2 linked regions of the Macaca mulatta genome follow. The protein of the gene in region 1 interacts with the protein of each later gene in a pairwise test. Links are inferred from orthologs where the notes say so. Each region holds a gene or a part of one and is shown on either strand. Other genes may lie near its edges.

Region 1 (6,722 bases):
GGTGCATGCCTGTAGTCCCAGCTACTCGGGAAGCTGAGGCAGGAGAATCGCTTGAACCCAGGAGGCAGAGGTTGCAGTGACCCGAGATCATGCCACTGCACTCCAGCCTGGGTGACAGAGTGAGACCCTGTCTCAAAAAAAAAAAAAAGAAAAGACATCTAACTAAATCTTGTAATTATATATAAGGAAGTCATCAAAGTGGTAGTTTTCTTTTAAATATGACTTTATAGCTAACACCTATTTTACATGGATTATCTCATGGGATTTTTTTCTCAATTCTGAGGTCAGCAGGAAAGGTGGTATTATCCTCCATTTTTCAGATCAGTAATTGAGGCTCAAAGAGTAATATATATACTCTTTGACCAAGATAACACATAGTTCACTTACCCAGGAATTTTAATTCTAAATACAGTATTCTTCTACACTACACCAAAAGAACTGATTCTCTCTCTTCTTTTTTACTTGGCTTTTTTTTTCCTAGTGTAGAACCTCTTTTCCCCTTTTTCACTGACACATTAAATACAAAGGGCAGAGGAAAACTAGAAGTATAATCATTTTCTTTTTTTAGTGATGTGGTCTTGTTACGTTGCCCAGGCTAGTCTCAAGCTCCTGACCTCAAGCTATCCTCCTGCCTCAGCCACTATGCCTGGCTATTTATTTAACTCTTATTTCTGAAGGAATGGAGAGTTTGGAGCAGGGCCATAAAACAATATTCCATTATCCCGTAGGGACACATTTATAGCACTGTTTTCTCCAAATAATTCTATGGTTACTCTATTTAGATAAAGCAACTGTGAACAGAAAATAACTTTCTGTTTTTCTTTGAGACAGTCTCGCTCTGCCACCCAGGCTGGAGTGCAGTGACATGATCTCAGCTCACTGAACCTCCACCTCCTGGGTTCAAGCAATTCTGGTGCCTCAGCCTCCCGAGTAGCTGGGACTATAGGCGCACGCCACCACACCTGGCTAATTTTTTGGTATTTTTAGTAGAGACAGAGTTTTACCAAGTTGGCTAGGCTGGTCTTGAATTTCTGACCTCAACTAATCTGCCTGCCTCAGCCTCCTGAAGTGCTGGGATTACAGACATGAGCCACCGCACCTGGCCAGAAATTAACTTTTAGTGTCTACAATATACAGTCTAATTATATTTTCTAGAACTGCATATGCATTAAAAGTCCCCTATGTACTCTGTTCAGTTATCAGGAGAGTAACTACATTATTCCTTATGTTTTCCTGTACTAAGAGTTTTTGTCTAATCTAAAAAATATTATGTCCTTATTTATCAAAATGGACAGAGCCTAAAATATTAACTGCAATATATGATAGCTAATCCTAACATTCTATAAACATATAAAACAGACTCGCTTGAGAGAAAGATCACCAAAGTATTGCAAGGTAAATTGATCTTGCCTTGGAAAACTAATCTATCTCCAATCAAAATCAAGGAGTGTTTCTGGAAAGTCCTCTATTTCTGGCAAACAACTTAAGGCAAATCTCCACAGTTCTGTGTATTCTTAAAGCAATTCCCATATTAATTTTTCTACTCCAAGTCAGAGTAGGATAGTAACTATTACCTGAATTTCAGGAAGTAAACAACTAAGAAAAAGAAAGAAGAGACACAGGCAAAAAGCAGATATTAAATTTTTGATTCAAACTAAGTTTGAGTTAACCCAGTGTAGCACAAAGATCCCTGAGTACAAGTTAGAAGACATGAGTGTTAGCTGATTCTGCCTCTTGCTTATCTGTGTAATTTTGAGCAAGTCATTTTTATTTTGAGCAAGTCATCTGATCATTCTTTTCTTCATCTTTACGAAGGAGTTGAAAATACTTTTTTGTGCTTCTTATTCCCCAAGATTACTGTAAGGGTCAACTGACAAAGTATCTATGAAATTATAAAGCCCTATGCAAATGTAGAGTAATATGTGCATATATATGTGTTTATATGTATGCGTGTGTGTGTAGATGTTGATTACTTTCCAATATTAGTCAAGTTTGACTCATAGAAAAAGTCTCTGACTTCTAGGAATTCACAGTTGAGAGAGGAAACAACCATTAAAAATAAACAATACAATAAAGGAAAAAGTAAGGTAACAGAGGTATATACCAACTGTTATTGGACCCCAGCAAAGAGCTAAAGGAATCTGAGGGGAAAAGTCAGTTGTCATAAAGATTACAACTAGGCTTCAAGGAAGAGGCTGAGTTGCTAGAATTTCATCCAGATACATGGGCTTCAAGATACATAAAGTATCATGAAACCTCTGTTACAACTGGTTCTGCCTTCAATAATTAAAAGTAGTACTTAACCTCCTTAGACCTCTCTCACCACAAGTCTGAAATAAAGGGTTTTGGCAAAATAAACCCACAAGTCCTTCCAGGCCTAAAATTAGATGGTTCTATGAGTCAAACTCTGGTCACTGTACATATACCAAGAAAGAGGGTTCAAGAAAGTAATAAGCCAGAAGTATTAAAAAAGGAGTTCTCCACCAGGCACGGTGGCTCACGCCTGTAATCCCAACACTTTGGGAGGCCAAGGTGGGCAAATCACCTGAGGTCGGGAGTTCAAGACCAGCCTGACCAACATGGAGAAACCCCATCTCTACTAAAAATACAAAATTAGCCAGGCGTGGTGGTGCATGCCTGTAATCCTAGCTACTCGGGAGGCTGAGGCAGGAGAATCACTTGAACTCGGGAGGTGGAGGTTTTGGTGAGCCGAGATTGTGCTATCGCACTCCAGCCTGGGCAACAAGAGCAAAACTCCGTCTCAAAATAAAAAGGAGTTCTCAGGTGGGCTCAGTAGCTCATGCCTGTAATCCCAGCACTTTGGGAGGCTGAGGTGGGTGGATCACAAGGTCAGGAGTTTGAGACCAGCTTAGCCAATATAGTGAAACCCCGTCTCGACTAAAAAATACAAAAATTAGCCCAGTGTGGTGGCGTACTCCTGTAGTCCCAGCTACTCAAGAGGCTGAGGCAGGAGAATCACTTGAACCCGGGAGGTGGAGGTTGCAGTGAGCCAAGATGGCGCCACTGGACTCTGGCCTGGGTGACAGAGTGAGACTCTGTCTTAAAAAAAAAAAAAAGAAAAAAAGGAGTTCTCCCATTAACTGCTTTTTCTTGGAATCAGAAGTCTAAGAACAATATTTAGAAAAATATCCACCTAGAAAAAGCTGTAGCACAATGAAGAGTAGAAATTGGAAGGATATCAACAAGGGGAGAGGCAAAACAATACGTGATAGCACGGAATGAAGCATTCAGTTCTGCAAAGATATCACTTAGACCAGTAAGGAAATAGGTAGTATATAGGAAGTTATAATATTTACATTCTTATTCCAAGAAAAACTTGGAGTAAAACCAAAACCAGACCTTAAAATTTACACTTCCATAAAATGAAGTTGTTTGAGTTTTTGCCTTGGTAAACCACTTCTAAAAAAACCTATTTGTATGAAGAGTTCAGTTTAGGCATTATAAAGAAAAGGATCAAAAACCTAAATATACACAACTGAATTAGTTTCAGAAATGGTACCAAAAGTGGATATCAGATAATTCACCAAACATTTATTAAACTATGTTTAATAGGGCAAGTTGTTATAAAACACAGTCCAAGTACTCAAGGGATTCACTGATTTAAGACTGTAAACAACAAACTATAGTAACTCTTACCCATCAATGATATTTTCAGGTGGGTGTTTTTCATCACTTGATGTAGCTAAAATCACTTCGGACCCTTCAGAGCTCAGACAGAGATCAATTTTTCTCATCTTAAAATGTTTAACCTGCAAATCAAAAAATAACAAAAAAAGCAACTTCTTGATTCTCTAAACTTTATCTGAGAAAACCAAGTGAGAAGGAAAGGCTGTTGCCTAGCAGATGGTTTAACAGCCAAGCTATTCAACATGTGGGAGGGACTCTAACATGTTTGTTTATATAAGAAACCTCTCCCAGGGATAATCTATATGACATGACTATTTCTGCCACTCTGCTTCACAAAATAAGTCCCTGACTACCCTAGCCAAACAAAAAAACAAAAACACAGAGGTACAGGAAGAAGGTCAACAGAGGAGAACAACATGGAATACCATAAAAATACTCAATTAGGCCGGGTGCGGTGGCTCATGCCTGTAATCCCAGCACTTTGGGAGGCCAAAAAATTTTTTTTTTTTTCTGTAGAGATGGGGTCTTGCTATGCTGCACAGGCTAGTCTTTGTTTTGAGACGGAGTCTCACTCTTGTTGCCCAAGCTGGAGTGCAATGGCACGATCTTGGCTCAATGCAACCTCTGCCTCCCGGTTTCAAGCGATTCTCCTGCCTCAGCTCCTGAGTAGCTGGGATTACAGGCACCCGCCACCACGCCAGGTTAATTTTTGTATTTTTAGTAGAGACGGGGTTTCACCATGTCGGCCTGACTGGTCTCAAACTCCTGACCTCGTAATCCGCCCACCTCAGCCTCCCAAAGTGCTGGGATTACAGGCGTGAGCCAGCACACCCAGCTTGCTCAGGTTAGTCTTAAAACTCCTGGCCTCAAGTGATCCTCCTGCCTCAGCGTTTCAAAGTGCTGGTATTAAAGGCATGCGCCACTGTGCCCGGCCAGTATCAGTATTTTATAAAAATGCATTTATTCTTAGTTTTTATTTATTAGAATACAGTTCACTTTCTATTATATTTTAAAAATTAGTATCGATAGTATTAAAAGTGTGGTAACATTGGTAAGAAAACACATATATTTTAATTTTTTGTGCCTCTTTTCTCTATCAATCTTACCACAGCTTTTGACACTATTGATACCAGAAAAACAGTCAGTGTGGGATGAATTGTCAAGCCTTAGTTTTAAGAGGAGAAAGATGATGAATTCTGTAAATACAGATTGATAAACTTGAATGCTAATTCTCAACAAAACCCTAAAATTATTAAAATTCATTATTAAAATGGTAGCCTTGAAAATGTAACCAAGGAAGTACTAAAATTGGAAGTAGCAGTAACATTAGTTTACAAGCTAAACCAAACCTATACATTTCTGTTTGTCTGATGGAATTCCTACCCATTTGGAACATGTTCTAAACATTTCGACAAAGCTTCAGACAAAGCTTCTCAAGATACCCTGTGAACCCGACAGAGAAATATGAATTGGGTGACAGCCAGTACTCTAGGTAGATATTTCTAACTCTGAGTGGCTATACTCAAAGAATGATGATTAATGGAAGAAAATGAACTTGTGGAGAACTTCTATCCTTATCCTACTCAACATTTTTATTAATTAAGGATGCACAAAGTATGCTCATCAATTTTGCAGACACAAAGCTTGGGATGTCAGCTGATACGCTAGGTGACAGAATTAGCATTCAAAAAGAAATGAGTAAGCTAGAAAGATGGCTTGCAATGAGTAAGTCATCTAATAAGGATAAAAGTAAAAACCTTTACTCAGTTTTGGAAAAAATCAATCATACAAGGGTTAGTCTAAATCAGGGGTTAGCAAACTACTGCCTGTGAGCCAAATCTAGCCTGCCATTTGTTTTTGTACTGCCCACAAGCTAAAAATGTGTTTAACATTTTAAAATATTTTTTAAAATCAAAATATACTGTGACACACAAAAATTACATGAAACTCATATTTTAATGTCCATGAATTATATTGGAAAGTGGCTATGCTCATTCGCTTATATATTGCCTATGGCTGATTATATGTTACAGTGACATAGCTGAGTCACTGAAACAGACTACAAGGCCCATAAAACCTGAAATATTTACTATTTGGCCCTTTACAAAAAAGTGTGCCAACCTCTGATCTGATACATATAGGTTTGGTTGATCACAAAGTCAATATAAGGCAACAGTGTACTCTATCTGCCCCTAAAGGTAATGGAATGCTATCTTAGAGTTTAAGGAAGTACCACATTCCATCAACATTTTTGAACACCAGTTGAACTAAGGGCCAAGCACTGTGCTAGTATTGCAAAGACGAATATAACAACCTAGGGACTAAGACTTGGTTCTTGCCTTCAAGTTTCAGAGTCAAGGAAGATGAATAAGCATGAAGCTAATAGTATAATATACTACGTACTAACATCGTGTGACGCACATCCAGAACACTGTGTTCAGTTCTGGGTAGTATGTTTTAAGTAGGACATCGTCAGGCGCAATATTGTTCAGAGGAGAGTAAAAAGTTCATGATGATCTATAAACCATATTACATAGAGGAAGGTGAAAAATAGAAATATGACTACCATTTTTATTCTCAGTGGTGCTCACAAATGGAAAAAGGATTTTTTACACCTCCAGGGGTGTGAACTGAACTCAACAAATACACATTTTGAGCAGGAACTTTGGAGAGACAAGGACTTTCGTGCAAAGTAAAGATTTTAAATTTCTTTCATCCCTGGAAACATCCAAGAAAAGTCAGTAAAAGATCATAATCTATGGAAGAAGCCAAAGAAATCTATGGAGGAAGCCAAAGACAGGATTCCTGCATTGGTAGTTCTCTTGGACTGAGTCAAATTCTAGGAAAGGTAGATTGGGAAAAGATAATGAAAGATCTGAAAAGCCAAGTTAACGGCAATGAAGTTTATCTTGTACTCCGTACTCCAGTGGTTCTCAACTGGACTGGGGGTAGATTTTGGCCTCCAACGGACACTTCACAACATGTGAAGTTTTAGCTGTCACAACTTGGGAGGGAAAATGCTGCTAAATATACCATCATATAGAGGACAGCACATCCACAAGTAATTATTGGAC
Region 2 (6,201 bases), on another chromosome or scaffold:
CAATGTGTGCAAAACACCTAGCACACAGTAGGCCCTCAATGAACATTACTTCCCCACTCCTCGCTTGCCTGGGAGGGCAGTGATCACTGTGGACTGTTCTTGCACTTGTCTGTGGGGACCTTCTTTGGGTCGGCAGGATGGTCACTGCGGCATTTAGGCAGAGGAGAGAAGGAGATGGGCTTGGCATCAGGCCTTGGCTGCGTCTCAAGCTGCGTTTGGTTATATTTCCTTTTTAATTACAGCTTTCTTAACTGAGCTGCCAGTGGTGCTTCTGTGAGCCTCAACTCAGGGGGGACTAGTTAACTTGCACAGATAATAGCAAGTGCTTACTGCAGCCTCTTCAAGCATAGTTTATACCCACCCACTTCAACACCTGAATAGAGTTTAACCGGTAGCCCACTGGCCTTTGGTGACTCATGTTTTGGAGGTTGGGGTGGGTTTTAATTTCTGAGTTCTATCAAGTGTTCCAGGGAATATGGAATATTGGGGTGCGGGGACAATTTCACAAATGAATGGAGGAAGGGGGAATACTGAAATCCTGTTTGCTAGGGCACTACTGCCTACTGCTTTGCACAAAGGTGTGCTGCAGAAAAGATGAGGAACCTACTGTACAGGAAAAGCTGATTTGGACTTCATTAATTTAGCATTTGTGATAATTGGACCAGGGGCAAGGGTGATATTTACCTCTGCACAAGCCATGAATACAAGGATTTAGTAAGTAATAACAGTATAAACAAGATTCCAGGGGCAACATTTATACTTTAAGAAAGCTAACATCTACTGAGTGTTTACCAGGCGCCAGACTTTGTGATCCGTGTTTTATATGCACCATATTACTTGATTCTCATATTTATTACTCAATGGGGATGTATTTTATTATCCTCATTTTACAGGCCTGAGGCACCAACAGTTGAAATAACATGTCCAGGTTCCCATGGCGAGTTCTCCTGCTCTCCATGGGAGGTCAGAGTGGCTGCCTTTACCACTGCAAAGGAAGCATGCTGCTTTGAGGGGATTTTATAAGCTTGGACAGCAGCACTGGTCAAGGTTCCTAGATGCAACAGCGGAAGTGCCTAGAGCCAAAGTCAAGCTGGGGCAGCAGATGACCTCTAGAACGTTAACCAGCCCATGCGAAGACGATCTCCAGAACATTAACCAGCCCATGCGAAGATGATCTCCAGAACATTAACCAGCCCATGCGAAGATGATCTCCAGAACATTAACCAGCCCATGCGAAGATGATCTCCAGAACATTAACCAGCCCATGCGAAGACGATCTCCAGAACATTAACCAGCCCATGACTCTTTTGAGGGCCACAGAATCAGGTCTAAAGGCCACAAGATGAGGTCCAAGTTATGACCATGACTGTGCCAGGCCTGGTGGTCTCCCCAGCTAGCAACCCTGGCAAGGGGCAGGGCAACCAACACCCCGACCCCTGCTGGTTCTGAGATGGATGTCTGGGGCCACTCCTGCTCCTAGAGGGCAGGTCATCACTTCATGCCCTTCCTAGTGGAGTCTCACGTGAGGGATCTGATTGATGCAGCTTGGGTCACATGCCTGCATCTTGGCCTCAGGGAGGAAGGGACTTTAAAACTCCCAAACACAGGAAGCGGGTTCCTCAGTGCTGGACAGCTAAAATCATGATACATGAGGTTGGTGCAAAAGTAATTGCAGCTTTTGCCATGAAAAGTGTACTGAAGATGCTGATAACAAATCACTTGCTTTTTCTACTTAATGAGGTCTTTTGATCTTTTAACTGGCAGGAACTTTGTGGCCTGGAGTCACCCTGGGGCTGCAGCAAGGTGAGGATGGGCAGCACTGATGGGAATTAGAGGCCACAAGTCCTAGTCCTGGCTCCACCCTTCACTAATCATGGGACTTTGGACAAGTCACTTCAGCAGCTCAACACTGGAATGGGAACTGTGAAGCCAACTTCTGGTTCACAGGCCTGATTGTGAGCGCCACAGGAAACAATGTTCCAGCAACATCTGAACCCAGAATACCGCATGCAAACGTCAAGGGTCATGATCACCGCACACCATGCACTTCTGTTTCTTACTAGTTGAGATACACCTTTTCCCAGGGTTGGCTGGCTAATCTGCCTTCCTGTTATGTCTAAGCGGCTACTGCTGTATTGAGAAGAGATCTTGGGCTAAGAATGTAAACATCAGTTCCAAATGAGACTCTGCATATGGTGGAATAACAGCTCCCTGCACGTGAGGTCATGTGCAAGACCGCTGCCAGCAGAGGCCCACTCCAGACTTGGCGACGAGGCAAGCGGAGATACTCACCACGGATGTTTCAAAACATTCCAGGCCTTGGCCCAGCGCCCATGCCCGGGCCTCAGCTGAGTCCACTGCTCGCCTGCCGACCAGGTCTGTCTTGTTCCCAACTAAAACACCTACTCAGAAGAAACAACCAAAATATGACACTTCACTGTCACAGTCTGGAAGGACAGCGGGCGAGATGAGAGCACTATTTTTGAGGGGTGTAAAGCATCCTCTAAGAGCTGCCTGACTCAAGGTGGTGAGACCCCACAGGGAAAGCCGGGGGTCTCTCATGCTGGCCCTGACGGCCACAGAGAGACAGGTGGGCTTTGCTTTTCATGCACAGCTTCTGCTAGATCTTTTTTCTAGACCTCATGTATATCTGTTTCCCTTGCCTCCTTAAAGGGCTGCAAACGCGTGAAGGCGAGGGCCAAATTTATGTGAGCCTTTTAATAATTCCTAGCACATGGAGCAAACTGTAAACTGGTCATTAATACTAATCTAAGGACTCGGCTCGGAGTCAGGGATTCAGAGGTAATTTAGTTCAGCTCCCAGCTGCATCAGCTGCAGCTAATTTTTGAGCCTGTCTCTGGAGATCACTTTCCCCGGTCTATAATGAGGAGAATTTGTTGATCTCACATAGGGACGAAAAATAAACTGATTTAAAGCATTCAGAAGTGACAACAGGACTTGAATGTTTACTTGTACCCCATATACAAGAGAAAATTAGGAACTCTTCCCTGGGGTTAGCTTTCTGGAATTAACAACTGATATTACAGCACCCTCCCCGTATTGAGTTGCCCCACAGCCCTGCCAGGTGCGTGTCCTCATTCCCATTTCCTAGACTGGGAGAGGTGTGTGTGATGACTCACCGAGGTTGGCATGGCTGCTAAGCGGCAGGGCCAGTGTATGCCTCAGGCCATCAAAGTCAAAGCCCAGGGCCCCTTCTCCACCCACAGCTGCCTCTGCAATGCCCTTGTGCTCTTGAACCGAAGGACAGCGATGCCTCTGGGAAACATGGGTGTCTGCAGCTCGTACCTGGGAGAGAGGTGCCTGGAGCCTGGGCCCGAGCCTTCTCCAGCCACTTGCTGCAGTTGTTGAAGGACTGTTCACTGGTCACATCATAGACGAGACATAAGACATTGGGACTCTCCCACTGTGCAAGAGGGACAGGATGAGCATGGGTCAGTAACAGGAAAAGTGACTTCAAGGCTGGGAGACAATTTGGCCTTTCAAGGGAAAAGCTATGGGGAGCAGAGGGAAACAGAAAACTATAAAGGGGACGGGAGTCAGAAAATAGCCACACCCACAGAAGTCAAACAATTTCCCCAAAGGAATGAACGGAGGGCCCCGTTCAGTGGCAGGAGGCAGGGCTGGGGCGGTGCCGCCAAGGACGAGAGCTCCTGTCTGGGCCAGGCTCTGCTGGGCGCTTCTGCGCCTCACTGTGAAGCCTCCCAACGCGGTGGAGTGTCTGAATATTTCCACTTTGTAGCTGAAGAAACCGAATTCAGGGAGGCTAAGTGACTTGTCCAGGCCTGACAGGCTTTAAAAACAATGACAACGATGACAGAGATGGGGGACGACTGAGGTCTTCTCTACCCAGAAATCTGCTTTCACCTGTGGCTGGCCTCGTTCAGTCATTCTCCACTCATTCTCATTGAGAGCCTACCACCATGCAAGTTATGTTTCTGTGCTTTCCAGCCCTGAAAGAAGATTCTTTCTTCATTAGCCAGCCCTGGGAGCTTGTTTGCTTGTATCTTCTTAATAAGGGCTGGCTTTTTAAAATGCAGAGGACACTTTCTGCTTCTCTTGCCATCCCTGCATCAGCCTAATCCAAACCACACCGACAACTGGACAGGGCTCCATGACCCAATTAAGAGCCGAGGCTACACTCTGGGGGGCTGTCGCCTTCAGGGGCTGCTCAGAGTCCTGGGGTGTCCTGCTGCCTACCCCGATGTTGGATGGCCCTGTACAGGCTGTGGGTGCGCACCCTGGTGCTTGTGACTCTTGGTCATGCCCTGGTTTCTGGATCCCCCAACCTTGCACAATTAGGACCTGGTTTATTTCTGCGGTGTCAGTAACCTTCCAGGATACAGAGGAGAATCCTTTTCCCTCCAGATTGGATTCCCTTTTGGATCCTTGGAAGGCCAGCCCAGAGTCCACTCTAGAGGGCTCCTCCTCACCCTATAAGGCTGTGCTGGCTCCTGGCAATGTCCAGGATGGGAGGACCGTGAACTAAACTGATGAACCCTTCACTCCACAGATTAACTCTTGAACTCCTGCTAGAACACACTGAACTCTGTTACATGCATGCAGGAGACACCTCAGCATGGTTTTAACTCAAGAAACCCTCCTTCTTCCAGGCTTCAGTGAGGGGATCCTGAAGAGGCCTGGCATCAAGTTAAAGCCAGAGCGGGTGAACCGGGAGTCAGGGCCGGCTGGAGGGAAGGGTATGAGCTGACGGGTGGCACATGGCCTGGATTTGCCCAAATACATCTTCCCTTCTGCCGGGCATGGCAGCCCCAGTGCCAGGCCATGCACACAGTAGGCAATTGGGGTGAACATCGTGAACCGATGCATGAAGCCAACCCTGTATGAAATCACTATCATTAGATCTACTTCTCTTAGGCGACAAAAAAAAAAGGGGCAGAAAACAGTTTCCATTAAAATGTGGCTGTTCTTGGAAAGGCAGGGGAGGGCTCTGGAGAACTCAAACCTTCTAATTAGCTCACTGACCCAGATTAGTGAGACTGTTACCATGGAAGGTACAGCAAGCGGATCCTGCGAGGCTGGTGGGACGGGGGTGGATGGGGCATGGTGAGCCCTGGGCAGCAGTAGGGGCATTTCCCGGAGTAAACCCCAGTGGAACAGCAGAAAGTGAGCCTCATTATAGGCTGAGGCCTCTACAGCACTTCCCAGAGGGGAAGGAGGCAGTCTGTACTGTCCTGGGAGGTAGGGGACACCATCTGAAAGGACACCATCAGGAGGGTGTTGCTCTAAAGGAGGGAGGCCTCACAGGGGGAGGGCTGCAAGGACTGAGCCACAAGGCTCTTGGCCCATTGGATCCTGGGCACCCCGGAGCTGGGGCCCGGGCAGTCACGCGCATCAGCCGCTCCTTCTTGCCAAGTAGCCACGAGTCTGGGCTGGGAGGAACGCCCCTTAAAGAGGAATGCCATGGGAGCTTCCCAACAGCACAGTGCAGGGAAACTGCTGTGTGAGCACTGTCAGGGACCAGCGTTTTGGCGGGAGGTGGTGATGGTCAGGAAAAGGACCACGTGCTACTTGCCAATTTATCCAGCATTTCCGAAAACAGCTCCTTGCCAGCAGAGTCGAAAATGAAGAGTTCCTACAATCAGAAAAGCAAGAAAGTCTCCACGTGGAAAAACCGCAAGCTACGAGTCAGTGGTATCACTCTCAGCTCACACTAGGCTTGTCTTAGGGGTGAAATACAGGCACCCAAATCTTCACACATGCTCTGTCCTTTCTCCCAGGCACGAGAGAAGATGACGGGGAAAGGAGCGAACTCCAGAGTCTTAGAGAGGCGGTACGACGGGTTCTCGCACCGACCAGCACTTTCTGTGTGGCGTCTCACCTCTTGTAACCCTGAGTGCAAAAATACCAGGAACAAGCTGACTTCCCACCTGGCAGAACAGAATGTTAAACAGGCCGGCGAGCGCTCTGGTTTCCAAAAGGTCATTCTGCACTTTGTTAACCAAATTGATTTTCAAATCTTAGAACAATTCTTTCTAAAGGAGGTCACTGAGTAGGCCTGGGGAAGGTGTTTAAAGTAGGACATTCTGTCACCCTTCTGGGATGGCTAAGGAGTGATGCAGACAGAGGGTGCGGGATGACCCTTCCTGCCCCGTCCAAACCTTCGCCAGCTCACGTGAGAGCCCCCAGGGCTGCTCCCCTAGGAAATCACCCCTCGGCTCC

Evidence for each region. The genes of interacting proteins can lie anywhere in the genome.
Region 2: the proteins of IFT25 (region 1) and IFT27 interact in binary tests that used the Homo sapiens proteins (3 or more experiments, as listed by UniProt). The two-hybrid records come from large-scale screens. The link is inferred for Macaca mulatta from reciprocal best matches to the Homo sapiens genes IFT25 and IFT27.

What each region holds. Positions count from the first base shown.
Region 1 is NC_133406.1:186,669,735-186,676,456, reverse strand, and holds the start of IFT25 (intraflagellar transport protein 25 homolog), read right to left. Parts: upstream 3,773-6,722; 5' UTR 3,756-3,772; coding exon 3,658-3,755; intron 1-3,657. UniProt on the Homo sapiens protein: Component of the IFT complex B required for sonic hedgehog/SHH signaling.
Region 2 is NC_133415.1:14,784,517-14,790,717, reverse strand, and holds part of IFT27 (intraflagellar transport protein 27 homolog), read right to left. Parts: intron 5,615-6,201; coding exon 5,555-5,614; intron 3,425-5,554; coding exon 3,307-3,424; intron 2,403-3,306; coding exon 2,293-2,402; intron 1-2,292. UniProt on the Homo sapiens protein: Small GTPase-like component of the intraflagellar transport (IFT) complex B that promotes the exit of the BBSome complex from cilia via its interaction with ARL6. Not involved in entry of the BBSome complex into cilium. Prevents aggregation of GTP-free ARL6.